3 linked regions of the Caenorhabditis elegans genome follow. The protein of the gene in region 1 binds, or shares a complex with, the protein of each later gene. Each region holds a gene or a part of one and is shown in the gene's direction. Other genes may lie near its edges. The genes, in order: bbs-4, osm-12 and bbs-9.

Evidence for each region.
Region 2: bbs-4 (region 1) and osm-12 share a complex: the UniProt entries of both Caenorhabditis elegans proteins name them as parts of the BBSome complex.
Region 3: bbs-4 (region 1) and bbs-9 share a complex: the UniProt entries of both Caenorhabditis elegans proteins name them as parts of the BBSome complex.

Annotation. Positions count from the first base shown.
Region 1 is NC_003281.10:9,607,923-9,614,980, reverse strand, and holds bbs-4 (BBSome complex member bbs-4), read left to right. Parts: upstream 1-2,783; 5' UTR 2,784-2,789; coding exon 2,790-2,858; intron 2,859-2,912; coding exon 2,913-3,214; intron 3,215-3,978; coding exon 3,979-4,182; intron 4,183-4,226; coding exon 4,227-4,455; intron 4,456-4,572; coding exon 4,573-4,640; intron 4,641-4,690; coding exon 4,691-4,825; intron 4,826-4,878; coding exon 4,879-5,083; intron 5,084-5,188; coding exon 5,189-5,296; intron 5,297-5,344; coding exon 5,345-5,413; 3' UTR 5,414-5,591; downstream 5,592-7,058. Other genes in the region: F58A4.6 (DUF4807 domain-containing protein), read right to left, coding at 1-11, 55-225, 275-402, 451-490; pri-1 (DNA primase small subunit), read left to right, coding at 702-801, 848-1,106, 1,235-1,445, 1,494-1,799, 1,852-1,936, 2,316-2,433, 2,481-2,634; clec-161 (C-type lectin domain-containing protein 161), read left to right, coding at 6,294-6,415, 6,720-6,844, 6,894-7,058. UniProt on the Caenorhabditis elegans protein: Component of the BBSome complex. The BBSome complex is thought to function as a coat complex required for sorting of specific membrane proteins to the primary cilia.
Region 2 is NC_003281.10:12,198,326-12,204,868, reverse strand, and holds the start of osm-12 (BBSome complex member bbs-7), read left to right. Parts: upstream 1-2,331; 5' UTR 2,332-2,418; coding exon 2,419-2,517; intron 2,518-2,804; coding exon 2,805-2,867; intron 2,868-3,547; coding exon 3,548-3,802; intron 3,803-5,035; coding exon 5,036-5,473; intron 5,474-5,525; coding exon 5,526-5,610; intron 5,611-6,487; coding exon 6,488-6,543. Other genes in the region: Y75B8A.13 (titin), read left to right, coding at 850-971. UniProt on the Caenorhabditis elegans protein: Component of the BBSome complex. The BBSome complex is thought to function as a coat complex required for sorting of specific membrane proteins to the primary cilia.
Region 3 is NC_003279.8:6,917,105-6,926,362, reverse strand, and holds bbs-9 (Protein pthb1 homolog), read left to right. Parts: upstream 1-3,389; 5' UTR 3,390-3,407; coding exon 3,408-3,495; intron 3,496-3,963; coding exon 3,964-4,031; intron 4,032-4,077; coding exon 4,078-4,210; intron 4,211-4,674; coding exon 4,675-4,982; intron 4,983-5,155; coding exon 5,156-5,342; intron 5,343-5,392; coding exon 5,393-5,522; intron 5,523-5,571; coding exon 5,572-5,659; intron 5,660-6,047; coding exon 6,048-6,206; intron 6,207-6,247; coding exon 6,248-6,395; intron 6,396-6,675; coding exon 6,676-6,774; intron 6,775-6,826; coding exon 6,827-6,958; intron 6,959-7,238; coding exon 7,239-7,325; intron 7,326-7,507; coding exon 7,508-7,659; intron 7,660-7,715; coding exon 7,716-7,868; intron 7,869-7,917; coding exon 7,918-7,984; intron 7,985-8,032; coding exon 8,033-8,121; intron 8,122-8,466; coding exon 8,467-8,613; 3' UTR 8,614-8,663; downstream 8,664-9,258. Other genes in the region: hrpc-1 (RRM domain-containing protein), read right to left, coding at 45-54; C48B6.9 (uncharacterized protein), read left to right, coding at 904-972, 1,021-1,182, 1,230-1,513, 1,569-1,654, 1,753-1,943; C48B6.10 (Small integral membrane protein 15), read left to right, coding at 2,693-2,783, 3,030-3,124; C48B6.2 (U3 small nucleolar ribonucleoprotein imp3), read right to left, coding at 8,877-9,131, 9,180-9,258. UniProt on the Caenorhabditis elegans protein: Component of the BBSome complex. The BBSome complex is thought to function as a coat complex required for sorting of specific membrane proteins to the primary cilia.

The DNA of each region.
Region 1 (7,058 bases):
GCGACTTTCGCCTGAAAAGCTAGCGTTAAACTAAAGTGTAAACTGATAACTTACATAATTTGCATCGAAATCTCCCATAGCTGAATAAGCGCCACCTAGAGTAGACAAGTTCCACATGAGCTTTTCGAGATCAAGCATGTATCGGAAATGGTGTTTCAAACGTCTTTCCCAAGCATAATCGAGATTTTGTGCCGGATTTTTCACTTGGATGTTGACAAGAAGTTTCTGAAGCTTAAATATAATAACTTCTGGCAATAGAAGATAAATTAGTTACCTTATCGACGGGAATATTATAGAAGGCACGTATTTGAGCAAACGAATATTCTTCACGACACTGGAGAATATTCAAAAATCCGTACAAATCGTCCAAATTCGTGAATTCGAATACTAGTGATTGGGTACCTGCAATTATTTTATATTAATTAATTATTTGCTTATCTGACAGCTTACTGGTCGATGGAATTTCCGTAGAATGTTTTATTGAATTCATTTGTACACTGAAAATGAGTATAGAAATGGAGAGAAAATGGTCTTTTAGAGAAAAATAAAATAATGCAAACGCGCCCTGTTGTACACGCCGCGAAATTGGAATTTAAACCAGTTTACCGCACTACATATGTGCCTATTTCTTGAGGATTTCATCTTTTTTTAGCTTGAATTTCAATTGAACCAAATATTTATAGTTTTTTTTCTTTTCAGAAATGTCTTATAACTCCATCAGACTTCCACAAGATTTGCCAATATACTACAAAAACTTCTTCCCAGTCAAACCATTCACAAAATGGCTCCGCTACGGACAAAGTGAGTTTCGAATTTCGATTTTCTTAACGAAATTTGAAATTTGCAGATAACGGAGACTATTTCAACCGCCGAGAATTCGCATTCATTCTGGCAGATGACGTTCATATCAGATATCGTAGTTACAATGACGAACACGCATTTTTCAAAGCACTTTCAAGTACTAACCCGGAAAAACTTGATATTGGAGCTGTCTACAATCACGAGCCAATTAATAACAAGAGACATACAGATTATCAAGCTGTGGAACGAGAATTGGTTTTTGATATCGATTTGACCGACTACGATCCAGTTCGTAATTGTTGCAAGTAAGAGTTTACGAAAATCCCGTTTCCGCGTATCTCTATTTTTATATTGATATATTTAGCAAAGATAGTTATTTGAGGGCATTATTAAGATGATCTGTAACCCACTTTTCGATTTTCTAATTTTTCAGAGATGCCACCGTCTGCCCAAAATGCTGGAAATTCATGGTTCTCGCTGTTAAAATCTTGGATTTCCAACTGGAAGATATGTTCGATTTCAAAGCACGAATGTGGGTCTTCTCTGGTAGACGTGGAGTACATTGTTGGGTCGGTGACAAAAAAGCGAGGATGTTGAACAATTATCAAAGATCTGCAATCGCGACCAGACTCAATTTGTTCAAGGTTCGAGAACTTCTTTGTCCAAATTAGAATAAAAAATTCATTTTACAGAAAAATGGCCAATGTGAGGTGACTGAAGGTCGGGCCAAAATGACGAAAGTTCCGCCGATTGTGCGTGACGCGTTTAACGTTGCATTGAAAGATGGAGTTTTCGAGAAGATGATCTATGACCAGGGATGGCTGGATAAGGAAGATTTTATCACAGAGTACAAGTTTATGTCAGAAGTAGGCAGAGATGACTTGCGTAGCCTTTCCGAGACTTACAAAACTCCACAAGAACGCTGGAACATGATTCGTGGGCTTTTTGATGACGACTATCGCAAATCGCTTTCTCCGAAGGACGGTCTTCTCGATTTTGTAAGTGGAAGCTTTGAGATAACAGTCGGAAAATAGATAAATCAATTTTCAGAAAATGCAAGGTCGCGACCGAAATTATCTTCTCTACTTTGTTCTTCAACGATGCTATCCACGTCTTGATGTTAATGTATCTACAGGTGAAATGTTTTTTACATATTTAAAAATAGTTTCAAAATCAAAAAGAAACTGTATAATTTCAAAAAATTTCGACATGCATTCTTGAAAGTGCACAGATTTATTCAGATGGGCCTCGGCGCGAAAAAAAAATACAACCATTACTTTTTGCGCACCGAGACCCATCTGAATAAATCCGTGCTCCTTTAAGAAGGCATGTCAAAATCTTGGGAAATTACGATAAATACTGAAAACTTCCTTTATTTCGAAAATAGTTTTTTTCTTAGAATTTCTCACCCTACAGATTTCAAAAAATTGAAACTTTCTGAACAAAAAATAATTATTTTCCTAATTTTTCGATGAAACTGCGTTGATTTCGTACTAAACGGTCACATTTTACAGGAACAAATCACTTGCTCAAATCCCCATTCTGCATTCATCCAAAGACCGGAAACGTTGCAGTTCCTCTGAATGTCGGTAAAATTGAAGAGTTCGATGTAAGCAAATGTCCTCGAATTGAGTAAGTAAAAAGTCGTCTCTCTAATAGTATTATCCAAAAACTTTCAGTCATGTCGTGGAAGAGTTGAGCAGTCTTTTGGCTGAACGAGGAAACGACGAGAACGAGGATTCGAAGAATCGAAAATTCCTGGCGTACAAGCATGGAGCTCTCGCACCTTACGTTGAAAACTTTGAAAAGTTTGTATCGGCTTGCATTTCATAAATTACTTTCATTTTTCTTATACTGTAACATGATTTCTACTTTAACAATAAATTTTTTTCTCGAGACCTTTTATAGCATGTGGCGTCCGCGAGTTTCCATGGCAACGGCAAGGAGAAAGACGTAGGCAGTTATTGAGGGTGCATAGCTTATTAAAAATGGAAGCGAGTAATCAAGATGAAATTATTGGAACTGACGTTATTCCAAATGAACAGGACAATCCAGAAGTGAGTTAATGAAATAATTTGAAACATTTTTTCGTTTATAATTCTGTTCATCAGGAAGTAGTACCTGAACCAACATCCCTTGATGTTCCACCACCTCCACCAGAACGTGCTCCGTCTGCTCCAAAACGAGTGGAAATTCTCGATTGTAACTCATTAAATGGTCTAATGTATCATTATTTTGCCCAAGGCGACTATATTGAGTGCAAATCAATAATTGGAGAAATTCAAAGCAAATATCTTGAAAGAAATGAAGCTGCTTTTCATGTTCGTGGACTAATTGCAAGAAATGAAGGAGAACTTGAAGAAGCGATGGAATGCTTTCATAAAGCTTATGAGCTTTCTGGCAAAAATAAAAGGTGAATATGGCCGTATATGGTAAATTAGTGAAAAAAGGAAACTTTGCCTTAAAGGTGCGCTTCATTTAACGATTTTTGCGCCAAAAATACGGTACCCGGTCTCGACACGACAAGTTTTTGTTTATTGTTTCCAAAAAAGTGTGCGCCTTTAAAGAGTACTGTAGCTTCGAACTTTCGTTGCCGCGTTCGATATATCGATTATAATTCGCATCGATTTTTATAGTTTTCCGTTGAAAACAAATTTATTTGTTGGAAAACTAAAAACTATTAAAAATCGATGAAATTCTTTTCAGGGTTTCATGTCACCGATTTACTGTGATTTATTGTTAACAATAATGTTGAAAAACTATTGTAATTTCGTAAGAATTCGATTAAAGGCACACGCTGTTTTTTGAGTGGGTCTCGCCACAATTTCAGTCACAGTACTAGCTACAAGTTCTATATTCCACATAATTATTATTTTGATAATGAAAAATACGTTTATGAAATTTCCAGGATTTTTAGTAAAAAATTTAGTGCATAGTTTCAAGTTTTTGCGAACAAACTATACAAATTCTAATTTTCAGTCATTTTTTACAGTAAATTAATATAATTTAATTGAAAAAACTTCACAAATAATATATAAAATGTCAATTTCAATGTCAGATGCAACAAGAGAGTTGCCAAAACTTGCCAAAACTCGTTGGTGCCAACTTCTTTCTTGTACCAGTAAAGGAATACCTTTAAATATAGGAAAATTTCAAATAATTATCTATTTATTACAGATATTTTTATGAAACTGGAAGATGTAATTTCCTACTTGGTCGCCATCAAATTGCTGTTGAACAATTAACAAAAGCAAGTGAAGTAATGAAAGACAATCCAAAAGTTTGGTATTGGCTCGCTCGAGCAATTTATCATTTTCCTGCTGAAAAGGTGCAAGGGAAAACGTTCAATCCTGTAGAATCTGCAAGGACAATTCTAATGAAGTAAACAATACGTTTTTTTCAAATACCGAATCTTCTGAATTCAGACCTGATATAGCCAAGGATGCCACGTTAATTTGCTTTCTGGGTCGACTTTGTGAAGAACTTGGGGACACTTCGGGTGCAATTGCTGCCTATAAATCATCATTAAAATTACAACCAGATAATACAGAAGTCATGAATCTACTTGGGTTGATTTATCTCAGAACTGGACAAGTACAAGAAGGATTTGTTCAACTTGGAAATTGTTTGGCTTATGATCCAGCCAATAGTCAGGTCAGATGAATTTTCAACTGTTATTTGTATCTCGTCACAAACGTATCAAAAATTTCACAGTCATGAAATAAAAAGAAAAACGTCCATAAAATGTAATTCTAAAATTGAAAAGTTCAGGCTATTCTAACAATTGGATCCATAATGCAAAATCACTCTGATCATGACGTTGCTTTGAATAAATATCGGTAATGTTTTTGCTTCATATCCAATTTGAAATAAAAATGAAAATTTTCAGTGTTGCGGCAGATGTGAGTGACTATAACGGTTGCCTCTGGAACAACATTGGTATCGGTCTTCTGGCCAGAAATAAACCAGCTGCTTCTCATTCTGCTTTGAAAAAAGCCGCTTTTATCAATCCCTTAAACTATAAGTACGAGAAGGAATGGCTTGAATTATACGTAATAATAATACAATTTAATTCAGGATCAGTTATAATTTGGGAGTTCTTCATGATATCATGAATCTACATTGCTCGGCACTTCATTATATAAAATTGTGCACAGAGCTCTATCCACAAAACGCGAAAGCTGTCGGTGCGATGGCAGTGATTCTATCACATATGAATGATGATAAGAATGCACGATTGGCATACAAAAAATCAATTGAACTAAAGAAAAATCCATCAACGGTGAGCATTTCTGTTTGTGCTGAGTTCCAGTAAAAATATCCGCAATTGTATGGGATGGGTATTGTGGCAACAATGTGCATACGAAAACACCATCATAACTTCTAGATCTTAAACTACGCGATCTTCGAATATCGTATGAAAGACGTCACTGCAGCATCAAATGCATTGAAACTATATAAAGATCTTCAAGCATCTGGGGTCAAGTGTAGCGCGGTGAGACCATGAACATCTGCAGTCACGAAGCAAACAATTTGATTGCAGAACAATAAGGAAACTGCAAATCTTTTGGAAAGTGTGTTGAAGCAGCCTGATCAATCTGCGGAACAATAACAAACCGTCCCCCACCATGCAAACCTGGACATTTTTTTAATGAATAACCTTTGCAGAAACATCTCGATAATAGATAAAATAAAATTAAAAACGTATTGGATTTATGTTATTTACATTTAAATTAACATAAAAAGTGATTGGCGTACATTGATTTAACCTATCTATGTATAAATATTTTCTGAAAGGTGGCATCACGATTCTGATTGAGTTTTTGAAGTTGGGAGATCACATCATCCTTTCCAACAAAAAGGTTTTCATGTTCACAATTATTAATACAAGTTTGCTCACGACTGGAAATCTGCTTATTACAGAAAAGTATGCAACTACTACCAGCATCAAAAATACATTTAAACAAGTAAATATCGTAGAATGTTAAACTATGCAAAAAGTAGTGTTTTCTCTATTGACCCAATTGATCCACTTTGAATGGTTATATCTCAGTGTGTGATAGTCTGCCAAACTTTGACAAAATGTTGCCAACAACTTAATGAATGCCACTAACATTAGTTGTTTCAGAAATGAAATCGACACTAACTTTTATCTATGTCTCCCGAACTCTTCATAAGTTCAATACCAAAATTCAATATTTTTCCTGTTCCACATTCATAAATATTTTTTGCCGATCTCCAACCTTTATTTGTAACACAACCGCCTCTACAAAAAATCGGTGTTGGGGGCTTGAAAAAGCGGGGTGACGGGGTGACGGGTTTGATAGATTTTGCGAGAATCTCCAATAAAACACGCTCTCATTTTATCGACGCCTACCGTATGGATGAACGATAAAACGTGATATACGGAAAGCTTCTGCACACACTGTTTCAGCATCACCGCCATCCTCAACTAGTAGGCGAACTTTTCATTATTTGAGAAAATTCACAAAATGTACAGACGAACCACGTTATGGTTCTTACTATTATTCCAGCCAATTCTTGTCTTTGCTCAAAATCGAACGGAACTTTATGAGTGTAAGATTGGTACTGTCAATCCATTGGCTTCTACTAGGTAAGTTCAATTTGAATATCAATTTTTATTTAAATGACAACGATTTCATCTTTGGTGAAAAGATAATATGTATTTTTTTATTGATTTGTTGCCGATTAAACTTTACAATCCAGAAATTTAATCAATTAAGACTTATGTAAGACGTTTTTCCGGCAAATCGGCAATTTGCCGGTTTGCCGATTTGCCGGAAATGTTCAACATAAATTAGATGAATAAATTGTCCATTTTAAATGTAAATTTCAAAAAAAATCTCAGAAAAATATTAACCATCTAAACAACAAATGAAATAAATTAACTTTTCTAGCTTGAACGCATGCTTTAAACTCTACAACACACCAAAAAGTTTTCAAGCAGCAAGAAGGTATTGTGTTTCTTTGGGAGGTCAATTAGCTGATAAGATCAATAAGGATGACTCTTCCTTGTACTCAGGTGACACTTTCCATTTTGTACATATTTAAAATAAAATCTAAACTTTTAGCCAACGCCGATCTAGAAGTTGCCAACTCGACAAAGTTCTGGGTTGGAGCATCGAATCTGAAATGTAACATTGCTTGGGAAAATGGTGGGGAAATCGAATTCAATGACATGTGGGCTCCAGAATCTCGATATTATGGAGTTGCAATCGACAAAATGTCAATTGGAG
Region 2 (6,543 bases), 2.6 Mb from region 1:
AATTCCTTAAAAAACTCAAAAAAAAAAATTTCAAAAAAAAAATCCGAAAACCCCTTTTCAAAAAATTCCTAAAATTTCCTAAAAAAAATTAAGAAAATCAAAAAAATATTCCGAAAAATATCCAAAGACTCTTTTAAAAAATTCCGAAAAAATCATTTAAAAAATTCCGAAAAATCCTTTAAAAATCCAAAAAATTCGGAAAAAAAACCAATAAATTCCGAAAAAATTTCGAGAAATCCTTTAAAAAATTCCTTATTTTTTGTATTTTTTAATACAAAAAATTCCAAAAAATCCTTTAAAAAGCTCTAAAAAATCCGACAAAAGTCCGAAAAATCCTTTAAAAAATTCCTTATTTTTTGTATTTTTTAATACAAAAAATTCCAAAAAATCCTTTAAAAAGCTCTAAAAAATCCGACAAAAGTCCGAAAAATCCTTTAAAAAATTCCTTATTTTTTGTATTTTTTAATACAAAAAATTCCAAAAAATCCTTTAAAAAGCTCTAAAAAATCCGACAAAAGTCCGAAAAATCCTTTAAAAAATTCCTTATTTTTTGTATTTTTTAATACAAAAAATTCCAAAAAATCCTTCAAAAATCGTAAAGAATTCCGAAAGGTACTTTAAAAAATTTCAAAAAAATATTCCAAAAAATATTCCAAATATCCTTAAAAATTCCGAAAAATCCTTTTAAAAAAATTTCCAAAAATCCTTTAAAAATTCCGTTTTGTCGATTTACGAGATTTCAGGGGATTGTTTTCGAATTTTTTAACATAAATATTCGGAATCAGGCGCAAATTTAGAGTAATTTAAAAGTATTTCCCTGAAAAGTTCAAAAATATTCTTTTTTTTCAGTAACAACTCCTGCTGCTCCGGCTCAAGAATCTACAGAAAGTTCCGCCGCTCAAAAACGTGAATTCCTGCCTGAACACGACGAGGATGAAGCCCAGGATCCGAAAAGACCACGTCTTGAATGATTTTTTTTTCTAAAATTAATATTTGATTTTCTAAAAATGATCTCCCTTTTTTTTTAAACGATTATATATTGTTAACCCGTTCCATTTTATTGAAAAAGTTTGACTTTTTTATTCAATAAATTTTTGTTTTTTTTTTAAAATTAGATCAACCCCTGAAATTTGCAGTTTGCAGGAATTAAAAAAGAGGTGATTTTGCAAGTGTGTGTCGATTTACGACAGAATTTTGTACTACACGTGGACAAGCGCGAAAGATTTTTTCGTCGGCAAATTGCCGATTTGTCGGAAATTTTCGATTCCCGCGAATTGCCGATTTGCCAGAAATTTTCAATTCCGGCAGTTTGCAGATTTGCCGGATCATTACAGTTCCGGCAAATTCCCGTTTTGCCGGAAGTTTTCAATTCCGGCAATTTGCCAATTTGCCAGAAATTTTCAATTCCGGCAAATTGCCGATTTGCCGGAAATTTTCATTATCGGAAAATTGCCGATTTGCCGGAAATTTTTGATTCCAGCGAATTGCCGTTTTGCCGATTTGCCGTAAATGTTCAATTCCGACAATTTGCCGATTTGTCGGAAGTTTTCAATTCCGGCAATTTGCCAATTTGCCGGAAGTTTTCAATTCCGGCAGTTTGCTGATTAGCCAGAAATTTTCAATTCCGGCAACTTGCCAATTTGCTGGAAATTTTCAATTCCGGCAAATTGCGTATTTGCCGGAAATTTTCATTTTCGGCAAATTGCCGATTTGCCGCAAATTTGCTGATTTGCCAGGAATTTTCAATTCCGGCAATTTGCCGATTTGCCGGAAATTTTCATTTTCGGAAAATTGCCGACTTGCCGGAAATTTTTGATTCCAGCGAATTGCCGTTTTGCCGATTTGCCGTAAATGTTCAATTCCGACAATTTGCCGATTTGTCGGAAATTTTCGATTCCCGCGAATTGCCGATTTGCCAGAAATTTTCAATTCTGGCAGTTTGCAGATTTGCCGGATCATTACAGTTCCGGCAAATTCCCGTTTTGCCAGAAATTTTCAATTCCGGCAGTTTGCAGATTTGCCGGAAATTTTCAATTCCTGTTTTTTTAAATTATTTTTTGAATTTTGGTGGTCACCAAGTTTGTAGTATAGCTTTTAGATGACATACGTCTCATGTGAAATTAAAAAAAAAAACGGCAAATTCGGCAAATTTGCCCAGCTTGGTAATTTCGGCAAATTTGCCGCAGTGCACTGTTTTTTAGACTCGGTCATTATGGCCCATTTCCTAAGCAAATACCTACTACAATCTTTTTCAAACACCTCGCTTCTCACCCGTCACCCCAATGAGCCACCTGACCCCTCTCCAGCTCATGTTGCCATAGTAACTCGACAACACCAGCGACTCGGCGGTTCCTAGTTCTCCATTTATTGAAATCTTGGATTTTCTGCTCACATTTCTCTCAGCTTCCACTGTAAAAAATGCAAAATTATTCGAGAACTGATTTCGCTCAAGTCGGCACTACTAATCGGGGTTGCATGCGTGTTATTCCGTCGGATAAGGAGAAAGAACACGATTTGGTAAGGGTTTTTTTAAATACTTTAAGCATGTATCAGATATATACACGGGCTTCTAGCCTTCCTCTTTGAATTTTTCGCGCTCCATTGACAATCACCCCCGCCGCACAACGTGTACTCCACACGGACAAATACATATAGTTTTACAATCGAGCCGCGACGCGACACGCAACGCGCCGTAAATCTACCCCAGATATGGCCTGGCTTAGTTAGGCAAACTCTTCCATTTAAATTTATGAGGGAGGCCAGAGATACGTGAAAGTTAAAAAAAACCAATTTGATGTTTGCAGATAGTAGTCGGTGGACAGAACGGAAGCTTAATCTGTTTATCGAGAAAATCGAATGACACCACGGTGAGTAAATTTTTTATGATTTTTTCCAGACAGTTTCAGATTTTTCTGGTGGAGTACACATGCTATGTAGTTTTCTAAAACAGGCGTGGGAAACAAATGCCGTTCGGCAAATCGGCAAATTGCCGGTTTGCCGATTTGCCGGATATCAATTTCCCGGAAGATTTTAGAGGGATAAGACGGAAACACTTAAAATTGTGCCTTTTTTAAAGTTTTTTCGGTTTTCTTTAGACATTTTCATATGTAGAATTTGCTTATTTTTCAAAATAGATGTAGAAACATTCATAGGATGCGTACAATTTTGCCCTTTACAACTGAAATTCTGAAATTTCCAAAAAAGAAAAAATCGGCAAGTCGGCAAATTGCCGGTATATCGGTTCTACCCAGTTTCTACCCATTGTCGCACATTTTCGTACTTCTAGCAATTTTTGTACTTTTTACGAAAATATTCGGGAAATGCACGAAGCGATTTGCCGAGATATGCCGAACTTGCCGGAAATTTGAAAAATGGCAATTTGCCGACTTTGCTGTTTGCCAAAAAAGCTCAATTTTGGCTACTTGTCGATTTGCCGGAACTTTTAAATTCCGAAACTTTGCCCGTTTGAAGAGATGCTGGGAATTTTCAATTCCGGCAAATTTCCGAATTTCCGATTTTTGCCGGATTTTAATTTAAAAATTTCCAGATAATATTCAAAACTCAACCAGGATACCCTGTTCAATCGTTGGCTCTCGGTGGCCCGGCATCGTCGAAAAAAAAGGATAAAATCTTTGTCGCATCACAAAATACGGTTCGAGGAGTCAATCGAAAAGGAAAAACATTTTTTTCGATGGAAACTAATATGGCTGAAGTTGCGAATCGAATGTTCGTACGTGGATTGGATGTGGTTTTGACTGGACGAAAAAGTTACAGTAGATATCATGACACGGTGGATTCGAATGTAGGTTTTTGCACCACCCGTTGGTCATAACCAGATTTTGTTTCTGTTGATGAAAAATAACATTATTTTTTTTTGAATTTTTTAAAACAATATTTCGGAAATTCGAATAATAGAAAAACGAAAATGTTTCAACATTTTCCAACACCCTTTTTGGTGTGTAGCAAATTTTAACGTTTGCCGTGCTCGCCAAGTTCGGCAAATTTGGCAAATTTGCCGCGCACCTCTGGTGCACATCGCTAAACTAACTGTGGTTAAGCTCTTTACCATTCAAATTTGAGTTTAATATTTAACTTAAAAAAGAAAAATTGATCTCCAAGCATTGAACAACTGCCCTTTTTTTAGAATATAATAGTTTCGAATATTTCCAGAAAAATAATTTTTTTCTGCCCAAATTTTTGCCCAAAAGATGACAGAAAAATGAAAATGGGCAAAAATAAAAAGTTGTCTAAATTTGTTTAAAAAAAGTAATTTATATATGGAGAATTCAGAAAATCTAGGTTTAACCCGTCAAAAATCATTAGAAAGTGGCAAAAATGGACAATTTACGGCAAAAAACGCAATTTTGAAACTAATCTAAAATGGTTAATTTTGTAGTTAGAGGACTCAAAATTGATCTCCGAACGCTAAAAAATTGCCCTTTTTCAGAATATAGTGGTTTTGTACATTTCCAGAAAAATCTTTTTTTTTGCCCAAATTTTTGCCCAAAAGATGGCAGAAAAATGAAAATGGGCAAAAATAAAAAGTTGTCTAAATTTGTTGAAAACGGGTAATTCATATACGTAGAATTCAGAAAAACTAGGTTCAACCCATCAAAAACTAATAAAAAGTGGCAAAAATGACAATTTATGGCAAAAAATGACAATTTTGAAAGTCCTCTAAAATGGTTATTTTTGTAGTTAGAGGACTCAAAATTGATGCCAGAACCCTAAAAATTTGCCCTTTTCCTATTTCTAATAATTTCCAAAAAAATATTTTTTTGCCCGAAAAAAATTGGGCAGTCATTAGATGGCAGAAAAATGAAAATGGGCAAAAATAAAAAGTTGTCTAAATTAGTTGAACACGGGTAATTCGTATATGGAGAATTCAGAAAATCTAGGTTTAACACATCAAAAACCATGAGAATGTGGCAAAAATGGACAATTTATGGCAAAAATTCACAATTTTGAAACTGTTCTAAAATGGCCAATTTTGTAGTAAGAGAGAACTCAAAATTGATCTACGAACAAATTCCAGAGTTATCTTTGCACGGAAGACATTCATGATGTTGTAAGCCTTGTATTCGAAGAAGCATGGGGGAGTCGAGAATACACTTCAATTCTCGCATGTGGTAACTCAACTCTTCAAATCATTGAAGGCAACAACTTCGCCTATGATGTCCGACTCGATAGTGTTCCATTCACAGTTTCCCTTTTTATGGGCGATGGTGGTCATACGAAGCTTTTGGTTCTTTACGGAACAAAAACTGGCAGGCTGGGACTTGTTAGTGTACCTCAAGGCGGTGGAAAGATCCTATGGGAAATTGATACAACGTCGGGAGCTTGTGTCACAACAATTGTGTGCTTCAATGTGACTGGCGGACAATTTCCGGATATTATTGTGGGAAAAGAAGATGGATTGATTGAGATTTACGTTATTGATGAAACTGATCATGCACATTTATTCGGAACTTTTGTAGGCTTTTGTTGAAGTTGCAAAATTCTTATGAAAAAAAAGGTGTTTTCAGTCTTGTGACGAGTCGATAACTGGAATATCGTGCGGTCATGTATCTTCAAAATCTGAGATTGATATTATTATTTGCACATTTACAGGTTTGTAACTGCTCAGTTTTCGAATACAGTTAATTCGCAAGATAATGCCTCAGTGAACACAATCAACCAGGGAGGGGGTGGGCGGCAAACTTTTTTTCGGCAAAAAAACCGGCAATTTGCCAATTTGCCAAACTTGCCGGAAAATAAGTTTGCCGGTTATCAACCCTACCACTCCCACTTAGCCCAACTCAATATCTCGCAAATACAACAACTCATTTTCCAAAACTACAGTAATCCTACAATACCATTACAGTCCCCCATATGTACTTCCACAGTATGAACACAGTACTACAGTACCCCTACAGTACTCCTAGAGCACTCCTACAGTACCCCTACAATACCCCTTCCACTAACCCCAACTAATACATATCTTTTCAAACGACGTCTTGTATTTTTCCAAAACTACATCTCCTTTATAGTATTCTTACAGCACCTCCACAGTACTCTTAAAGTAGTTCTACAATACCCCCTACAGTACCCAGAGAGTATTCTTACAGCACCCCCACAGTTTTTCTACAGTACCCACACAGTACCCCTACAGTACCCCCACAGTGCTCCTACAATACCCCGACCATATCCCTCTGCTAACCCCAAACCAATATCTCTTCAAAAGATTAATAGCCAATTTTTTCAAAACTACAGTAATCCTACAGTAATCCTCCACAAAACCTCCAAACTACCCCTAGAGTAATTCTACAGTACCCCCTACAGTACCCAGACAGTATTCTTACAGCACTGCCATAATTTTCCTACAGTACCCACAGAGTACCCCACAGTACCTCTACAGTACCACCTCCCAACAGTACCCCTACAGAATCCCCATAGCCCCCTACAGTACGTACCCCGACATTTCATAAAAACACAAAAAATCGTTTAGGATGGCTATTTTCGCTTGCCAAAACATCCCGTCCGATGATCGAAAACCTTCCAGTC
Region 3 (9,258 bases), on another chromosome or scaffold:
CTTATTCTCTAGTTTATTTCTCATTTTGCATTAAAAACACTAACCAGCACTCATTTTCCATTGATTCTCTGAAGTGTTCGGGATGAATGACGTTTATCACTGAAAATCTTCACTAAAAATTTAAATAATTGAGAAAATTGAGCAAAGTTTGAACATAACGGTTAAAACACGAACATAACATAATTGGAAAAGATTATCGATCGCATGAGTGGTTCAGAGTGGGAAGAGGTGACAATGGTTTGAAAATGAGAATAATGGGAAGAGAAAATCAATCATAATGCGCAGACAGGGTATGTTCATTCCTAATGCAGTAAATTTTTTGTTTTTTTCCTAAAACAGAATCCCACCTTGAGGGGTTTTTAAAAATAAGTGTAAATAAAATTTTCAGAACCAATATTGAAAAGGTATTTCTATTTTTAAATTTATTTTGTGGGCTGAAACAAAAATTGTACAATGTACAACAAAATTGTTTAAAATTTTTGATTCTGCATGCACTAGAGGCACTGAATATCACGACATTTCGAATTTCAGTTTTTATTCGCCAATTTTTCTTGTTTCCTCGAAAAAACCAAATTAATCTTTAAAAAATTGGTATTTCTTTCCTAGCGTTTCGGCATATTGCATCTCATTATGATCTCTTCTTGTATCTTTTTCAAATGCCACCACCTGGTGATAGACTCTTTCGAGAATCTCTCCCCGTTCGCATCCTTACACAAAAACTTATGCGGCTCATTCTTCAGTGGTCCGATTGGTGCATTCGGCGAACACTGATTGCTCCCTCTGTGTGCCTTTGTAATAAAAAACTTTTCGTTGTTAAAAAGAAACGTTTTTTGTCGTTATCTCGAGCTTGGCAAAAAAAGTTAGATTGCTTTTTTTCCGGCCACAATACTTGTTTTTTTAGAAATGGTTACATCTTCAACACCCAGACGTGGGTTCCACATACCGACCACATTAAATCACGAATCCCTTATGGTAATTTTTAAATCGGAATTTTTCTCATACTTTATAATTTATTTTTAGGCTCAAAACTCGCCAATATCGATGAGATATTCAGTATCATGTGGTGGTGGGAAGGGAATTGGAACTACTGGAACATATAGCGGAGCTGGGGGACAAGTTAGCGATAGTCACCCATCAGTTCTCGATTTGAACAGCGAAAACCGAGTAATGGACCGAAAAACGGTAAGAAAAGTTTTTTTCAATCTTTCTATGCATGAAATTGTGTTTAGGTTCACTGGAATATGCTTCTCCTCCTCTTCATGTCAGTTTGCTCGGCATTATTCACCGTTGTTGCTCTACAATTCCACTTTTCAAATGCCGAACGATTTCTTCGCACCGCAAAATCACCGGCATCGGCATATCGAGGAGTAATCGATGTCATTCGGGATGTCATCGCCTCATTCGACGTGGCAATCGTGATTCTGTCGATTCTGGCATTCTTTGTGTCTGCTCTTCAATTACTATTCCTGATGAAGATAGTAAAACAGACACAACAACCGGATGATATTGATGTGTTAGTGCTTTTCAAAAGTTTCACATTAAATAGCTTGAACATTTTAACATTACAGGGCACTTCGATACATCAAATCAACCAGCTTTTTAAGAATTGTGGCATTCTCGTTTTGGTTCGCATCAATAATAGTCTTCGTGATCGGTGAGTTTCTTAAATACTATTCATACGCGATTATAAAAATTCAAAAGAATGAATTCGCTAGAATACAAGAAACAACTCTGCAATTCTAATATTTTCAGTGCTAATGCTCACAGTCTCAATTGACCCATCGCGAAGTTTGGCCTCAAAATGTGTATCGATTACTTTAGGATCTTCCGCCGTCTTTCTTGCCACTTGCTTCGCCGTGAAAACCCTCTATTTCTGGGCAAATCATTCTTGTGGGCACGTCTACCGCGAGGATTGTTACAATTACCTAAGCACACTGGTCTGAATGTATTATTTTTATAGCTTGTTATTCTACCCACTTCTATATTGAGCTTTTTCATCACGCAAAGTTTCTCAAAATTGACACCAATGATCTGATTTATTTCATACACATAAGACTAATAATGAATTCTTATTGAAATCCTGATTAATGGATCTTTTTTAGTTCATTACTAATACAAGGCTTATGTTCATGAATTCGAGGGAAAACTAAAAGAAAACAGAACAAAAATGACGGAGCAGACATAAATCAAGATGCGGATAAATAGTAGTAACATACATAAGAGATATCTATTTTGTGTTTTGCAATATTTATAAATATTGTTTTTTTTTAATTTTAGTAAAAAAGTTTGAGAAGCAAGTGAGAAAGTATATTTTCAGAAGAGTAAAAAAAAACAAAGATTTGCAAGAGAAAAAAACGTTTTCAAAATTGTGTTCTGAATGCCTTTGGACGCGTCGCGGTGGCGCTGCGTGTTCTTCCAGCATGGCATTTTTTCCAAAGAAGAAACACGTTTGCATTTGTTCGTCGCCCATTTTTATTCGTACATTCCGTACAAATTTTATCAGTTTCTGATAGATTTAATATTGTACAATGAGAATTTCCTATTTTTATTTGGCATTTCGCAAGTTAAATCATTTAAAAACAGCTTTTTGTAGAGAAAAATACTGAAAACTACAGTATACTCAATTTTTTGTGTTCTTCAAATTAAATTTGTTTCATTTATTTTTATTATTTTCAGGTGTTAGCTAGCAAAAATGGTTGAGCTTGGAGGAAAAGGGCCATACTCGACATCGTTCGATAACTCTGTCTTCATCATCCCCGCAATCGTTATTGTAGCCGTTTTCGGTGAGTATATTAAAACTAAAAATAACAACGAATCTCGCAATAATTTACAATCTTCAATAGTCAAATCTTTTTGGTCGGGCTATTTGTTAAGACCAACATAATTTTTGAGTACTGTAGGTCTAACATGTTTTCCTTTTTTTGAAGATAGGCTAAGTTCCATTAAAAAAACATGCTTCTACCGTATTCAAATTGATAAAAACAATTCACACATCCATCAAGCAGTTGATAGAAACATAATGTTTTCAGCCTACGCCGTTATCAAGCTCCGTGACACCACTTTGGCTAAGGATAACAAAAGCACGGCTCGTCAACGCCGTGAGGAGAAGAAGAAGGCCAAGTAAATGTACAAAAACAGGACTACATCCAAAGTTCACATTCCAAAGACAACTCGACATACAATTTAACAATTTATACTTCGATTTCCATTTGGGTTTTTTTGTATTTATTTAAAAGTTTTATTTGATATTAATAACGTTTTCTAATGTAAAAATAAAATTGATGAACGGATCTTGTTTCTCCATTCTCTACACGCTGCTCCATATGGTTTCCATGACAACACGCGCACAGCAGTGAGCAGGTGAACATCGACTCTATTGCTTACTCTAGGGCACGCTTCAGTCAAAAATGTCGCTTTTTCGGCTCGTCGAATGGGTTTCACAAACAATTCCTAATACGTCAACTATATTGAACGCTTCATTTTTTCAAGATAGAGGTACTTTTTTCAAGATGTCAAGGTCTCCAGTTCGATGTCATGGTTGTGCAATTTTTTTTGTTGAAAAAAAAAACGAATCTCAATTTTGCTCCACTGAGTATATAGTTTTCGACGTTAAAATAGTAACATCAGTAGGATTTTTCCAAAATGCACTCAAAATTAATTTTTGGTCAAAAATTTGGCACATTGCCAAATTATTGAAAAGTTGGTTTTTCTTTAATTTAGAGAATTCTTAAATATTCCAAGCTTGAAAATGTTTGAATATAAATAATTAAAACAAATAGAATGATGAACTTGTGGAACATTTTTAATTTTGGTCGGTTTCCAAAATCATGATAGGTGAAAACTGACCATTCTTTTTTTGACTAAATATAAAATTTTTCAAATATTTGGAAAATTTTCACAATGATATTTGGTCATCTTATTACTATCGAAAGGCTCTAAACGATTCCCCCGTCATTATTCCAGAGCAACTTGTTATTGGAGGAGAAAACGGTCAAATTACGATCTCAGATCCAGGATTCAGGGATACCAATGTGACTTTTAAAAGTCGAAAGATTGCAAAAAATGTGGTAATTTCAGGCGCATGTACTGTGTACAACTGAAACTAAATATGCTATACTCCAAATGGCATCTGATAACTTTCTACCTTCAATGAATAATATTCTTGCCGTCTTATCACCAACAAAGTTAACCTATTACAAAGTTCATTTTGGTAAGTTATGTATCTATTCAGCTGTTATTTATCATACAGAGTGGCTCATAATTATGACAAACAGATGTGGTATCATAAAAACTGTTTTTTTGCAAACTAGGTCAACTCCAAGATATTCCTGATCCAACATTACATTAATAATTGAATACATCTTTCTAATTCGTTAATATAAAACACGTTTTGATAAATCGAACTATGAAATCTATTTTGACAGGCTCCATATTTTTGAGTCTTTTCATTTTGAAACCGATAGTTGTTGATACATGTTTATTTAACTTCAAAGAGAGATAAATACAATATTTGATTCGGATTGTCTTAATAAATACGGGTCATCCTGTAATATACAAAAAATAATAGGCTCAAGTACGAAACAAGGCTGTGCGGCTGGTAAAAAAATTCGGCTGTCGGCTGATGCCGACAGCCGACAGCCGCACAGCCCTGGTACGAAATGGTTAAAATTTCAGCAAGTCCTGATGAAACCCTCGCATCACTTGATGAGATATTCTCTCATTCTTTTTCAACATCTGCATGGAATATGTGTGTAATACCAATTGAAGAATCAACTCCACAGATATTAGTGCAATCAATTGATTGTAAATTATCTTTGTTTCAAGGAGATCAATGTGTTTTTTCAATGGTTCCATTGAGAGCTCTTCAACCAGGACCAATCGGTTACTGTCAGACTACACAAACTCTTTTTGTTGCAAATAATGGATTCTTAGCTGCTATCAAATTCAGTCTTATGTCAAGTGGATCGCAGAAAAAGATTAATGTAAGCTGTGGACTATTGAATATTTTTCGAATGTCCAATATCATCGGGAAACTAAAAAGTATTGAGTTAATTACAAATAATAAACCCAAGCTGTCGAATTTTGATAACGCTGAACATTTTTTCAAATATGCTGACTTTACACTGACAGTAAATTTGAGTCTTCTTTTTTTCAGTATGACTGGTCTTTTAATCTGGGTGATACTGCAATACAAATGAAAGTAACCGAAGGATCTAAACCAACAACCATTGTATTATGCCGCCGACACGTGTCTGCATTTAATGCAACTGGATCAGTTGTCTGGCAGATTCGTTTAGAAGCTGTTGGAATGGCAATGTGTCTTTATAGATCACTTCTGATTAGTAAGATTTCATATATTTTCAAACTTTTATTAATGTTTACTCTCAATCAGATAACACTCAATTCAATCGTTTAATAGTTTCAACATCTGACGATACATTGCTAATATTTCAAGATAATAAACTTGTATGGAACTGTAATGCTCAAATGTCACCAGTTGCACTATTAGTTTGCTCTTATAAGTTAGTTTTTGACATTTCTAGAATTAAAATAAGAATTTTAATATTTCAGCAAATCCTATGAGAATACCATTACAATGATGGCACCAGACGGTAAAGTTGTGGTTGGATATCTTGGAACCGAGCCAAATTTATATAGGGTGAGATTTTTTTTTGTATAGATGTGATATAGGGCCATTTATAATTTAAAATTATCAAGTATCAGGATAAATCATTTTTAGCTTTCGAAAATTATAGTTTTGGCAAAATGCCAAATTTTTGGAATATAAGAATCATACTTAAACTTTTTTTTTAATGTTTTACTTTCATTTTTGACTGTTTAAGAGTGGTCTTTAACAATTCTCACACTGGCGCTGCACAATCTTTTCTAATATGTATTCAGCTTTATCTTCGTTCAAATATTAATAGAATTAGACTTAAGATATAATATTCGAAATTAGTGTCAACTAGAAGTAATTTTAACAGATACAGTAGACCTATGGTAATTGAAACAAATCGGTCACTATTTTTATCGCAAAAAAATTACAGTTACCCGAGGACAAAGTGATAGTAAATTACGCGGAACGAATGGAAGAATATAAGAGAATGGAGCAAAAAATCAAGGAATCAGATGCAGCCGGTGGAGCTATCAAAAGAAAAGAAGGAATTCAAATGAAGCTGAGCATTGGAGAAATTGGTAAACGAACTGTAAGTTTGTTCATTGGAACATTATTCAAATATTAATTTAGATTGAGCCAAATGCTGCAAGCAATGCACCATACTGCAACCTTATTGTAGAATTCTCAGAAGTTCAAAATGTTTCTAAACTTCACATCAATATTCTATCGGAATGTGCTTCTCCATCCAAACAAGTAATTCTTAATGTGGGGACTTCAAGTAAGTTTTTATCATAAACTTTCGGTCTGGAACAAATTCGTTTATAACAATGTTCTACATTGAACTCTTGTTCCTAAGAACAAAAACAGTTATGGTAAATTTAAAAATTGAAAAAAAGTATTGGAAACGTTGATAGTGGAAAAATCTAAAAACATATAAAGTTGTAATTTTTGTTGCATAAATTTAATACTTTTCGAATCTACAGAAAGCGCAACTCAATTCAACATTTATTGAAAAAATTATTTTGTTCTGAAACTCTAATAATCCATTTACCTTTCAGAGTCCACTGCATCTATTGAAATTCCATTTTACGTCGGATCCAAAAAATCTCCAACTAGCAATAAAGTCACTATTGCAGCACATTGCGCATTCACCCAATGTAATTTCAGATTACTAACCGAATTAAAATAGTTCAATAACTTTATTTTTAGTAACAGTCACCAAATCAATCGATTTGCCATTCAAAGTATTGTTTGAGGAATCACAAATTGATAGAAATGCAAAATATAAAGTGACAATTGATACAGCTGGATCGGTTATGCCACTGAATAAATTATTTTCTGGTGAGCTATTTTTCCTTCATTCTGACAAAAGGCATAACTATTGTAATATAGAAAATTAATTAACATGTGCCAAGCAACTAACTTTTTTTGGAATACTTGTAGGACAAACGTTTTCAAAGTTATTTAAAATTTTTGAAGTGTTTATTAATGATATTAACGATGCTAGTATATAATGGACTATTATGAGTGATTTTCCAAAAATACCAGCGCTAACTAACGATAGTTTTGAGTGTTTAAGGTGCGATGTTTATAGAACTCAAATCTTAACAATGATTTTTAGAGTTCGAATCTGAAAATCCACAAGCAATTGGATTTTCTCTTCATGGCTCTGATAAGACAGTTTCAGTGTTTGCAGCCAACAAGTCAAGTAAGTTTCTTCCATTTCAATAAAGCATAGACAGGTATGCCTACGTACTTACCTTAAGCTTGCCTGCCCGAAGCCTATTTTATTAAATTTTTGGAATTTGGAATTTGTTCGATATTCCTTGTGCCCAGATGGAAAGCGTTAATTTGAAACTTCGAAGTACGAGGAGAATGAAATATTTCCAGATCGTTACCGTATTCAATCAGAACATATTTCATTATTACAAATAACATCAAGGGAATTGGTAAAACGAATTGCTGAATCAGCGCCGGGAATTGAAATTGGAGGAGTTATTCCATTTGAGTACATGAGAGAAACATTGGATGAAATTCAAGAGGTATTAAAGTTTTTTTAAGTAGAAGAAAAAATAATATCCTTCAAAAAATATTACAGCTTCAAACGAAGAAAAAGGAAGATTCAAAGAAAATTGACTGTCGAACAAAAGAAGTTCGAGCAATTGAAGCATTATCTTTGAATTCGTGTAAAACTGGAAATATGGGAAATTTGCCTTCTTTGGATGCACTGTTTGATAAATCATATAGAGAAGTAATGGAAATCGTGAATAATTTGAAATTAATTTATGGGAGTTTTGCAGCTTCTCGATGCAATGGATAGTTACAATAGTTTAACTGCAAAAATTGAAAATCAAAAGGCTTCATTGAGTAAGTAGTAAGTAGGTTGTTCTTAGTTGTCTCACGAGAACTTTTCAGACTCATTATTCCAATTGGCAGCAGATTTGTCAAAACTTTCAAAAGTGGATACTATTTTAAATGGATCTTTCTGGGCAAATACTCAACAGGTAACTTTTTTATATTTAGTTTAAGTTTAATAAAGAAACCGACAAAACTAACCAACAAATGTGCAGAGCTTATCCTGCTTAAAAATTATATAAACATTGTAAACTCAAAATAAATGATAAATGCCGAGAAAATCAAAAAAAGACTGTAACGAAAATAACTTTATTCAAAGAACGAGTATATTAAAGTCGATTAAAATTGTTACAAAGCAGAACCCAGAATGCCACAGTGGTATGGTGTAAACTCTTTTGAGCAATAGATGTCTAATCGCGCCGAGACCTGGTACCGTACTTTTTCGTCAAATCTTTTTTACAACTGTATAATAACTAATTTTTTATTAATTAAAGTCTCTACGAGATCGCCTTCGATGGGCTGTGAAAACAGATCGTGGAAATGAAATGACAATGATTGAGAAACTATGTGAACACTCGCCAAAGGAATTACCAAAAATTAGAGAAGAAGAGGAAGAGGAAGAGCAACAAGTGACAGCTTAATTAATTTAAAGAAGAACATATTTAAGTAATTTAATGAAGATTTCTATTTTTATAGTTTTTCTATTAAACATGAATTCATTTTCATGTCGACTTCAAGCTCTACATTTCGCTGCGAGACCCGCCTTTTTGAATGAAATTTCAAAAGCTTTTGTAAGTTTGTGAATATTTTTATACATTTTAGAATTCAATAACATCTGAAAATGTTTATTGATAACAACGAGAACAACAACAGCAACAAATCAAAATTTAAAAACAAACAAAAATTAATCCATGAGATCGAAATCGTCTCGAGTATTATTATAATCCATGACGTGTTTCTTGATTTTCGAAGCTTTCGTCCATGTGATCATATCTTCAGACGATCGTGTAACCATAAATGCTGGATCGGTAACCAGTTTCGTTCCGATTCGAACGTGTCCCTGCTCCACGAGATCTGACGCAGTTTTGACTGATTCACACATTCCAATATTTCTCATCACGACTGGAAGACGACGACGAGCGAATGATGCTCCAGTCACCTAAAAATGTTTTATTTTGTGTAATTAAAATCGAAACAGGACAAAAACCTTTCCAATTCTTTCCAACGTATCACTAGTGGGCACAAGTCCAGCTGCGTAAAATTTGGTGAGCATATCCTCTGTGCAT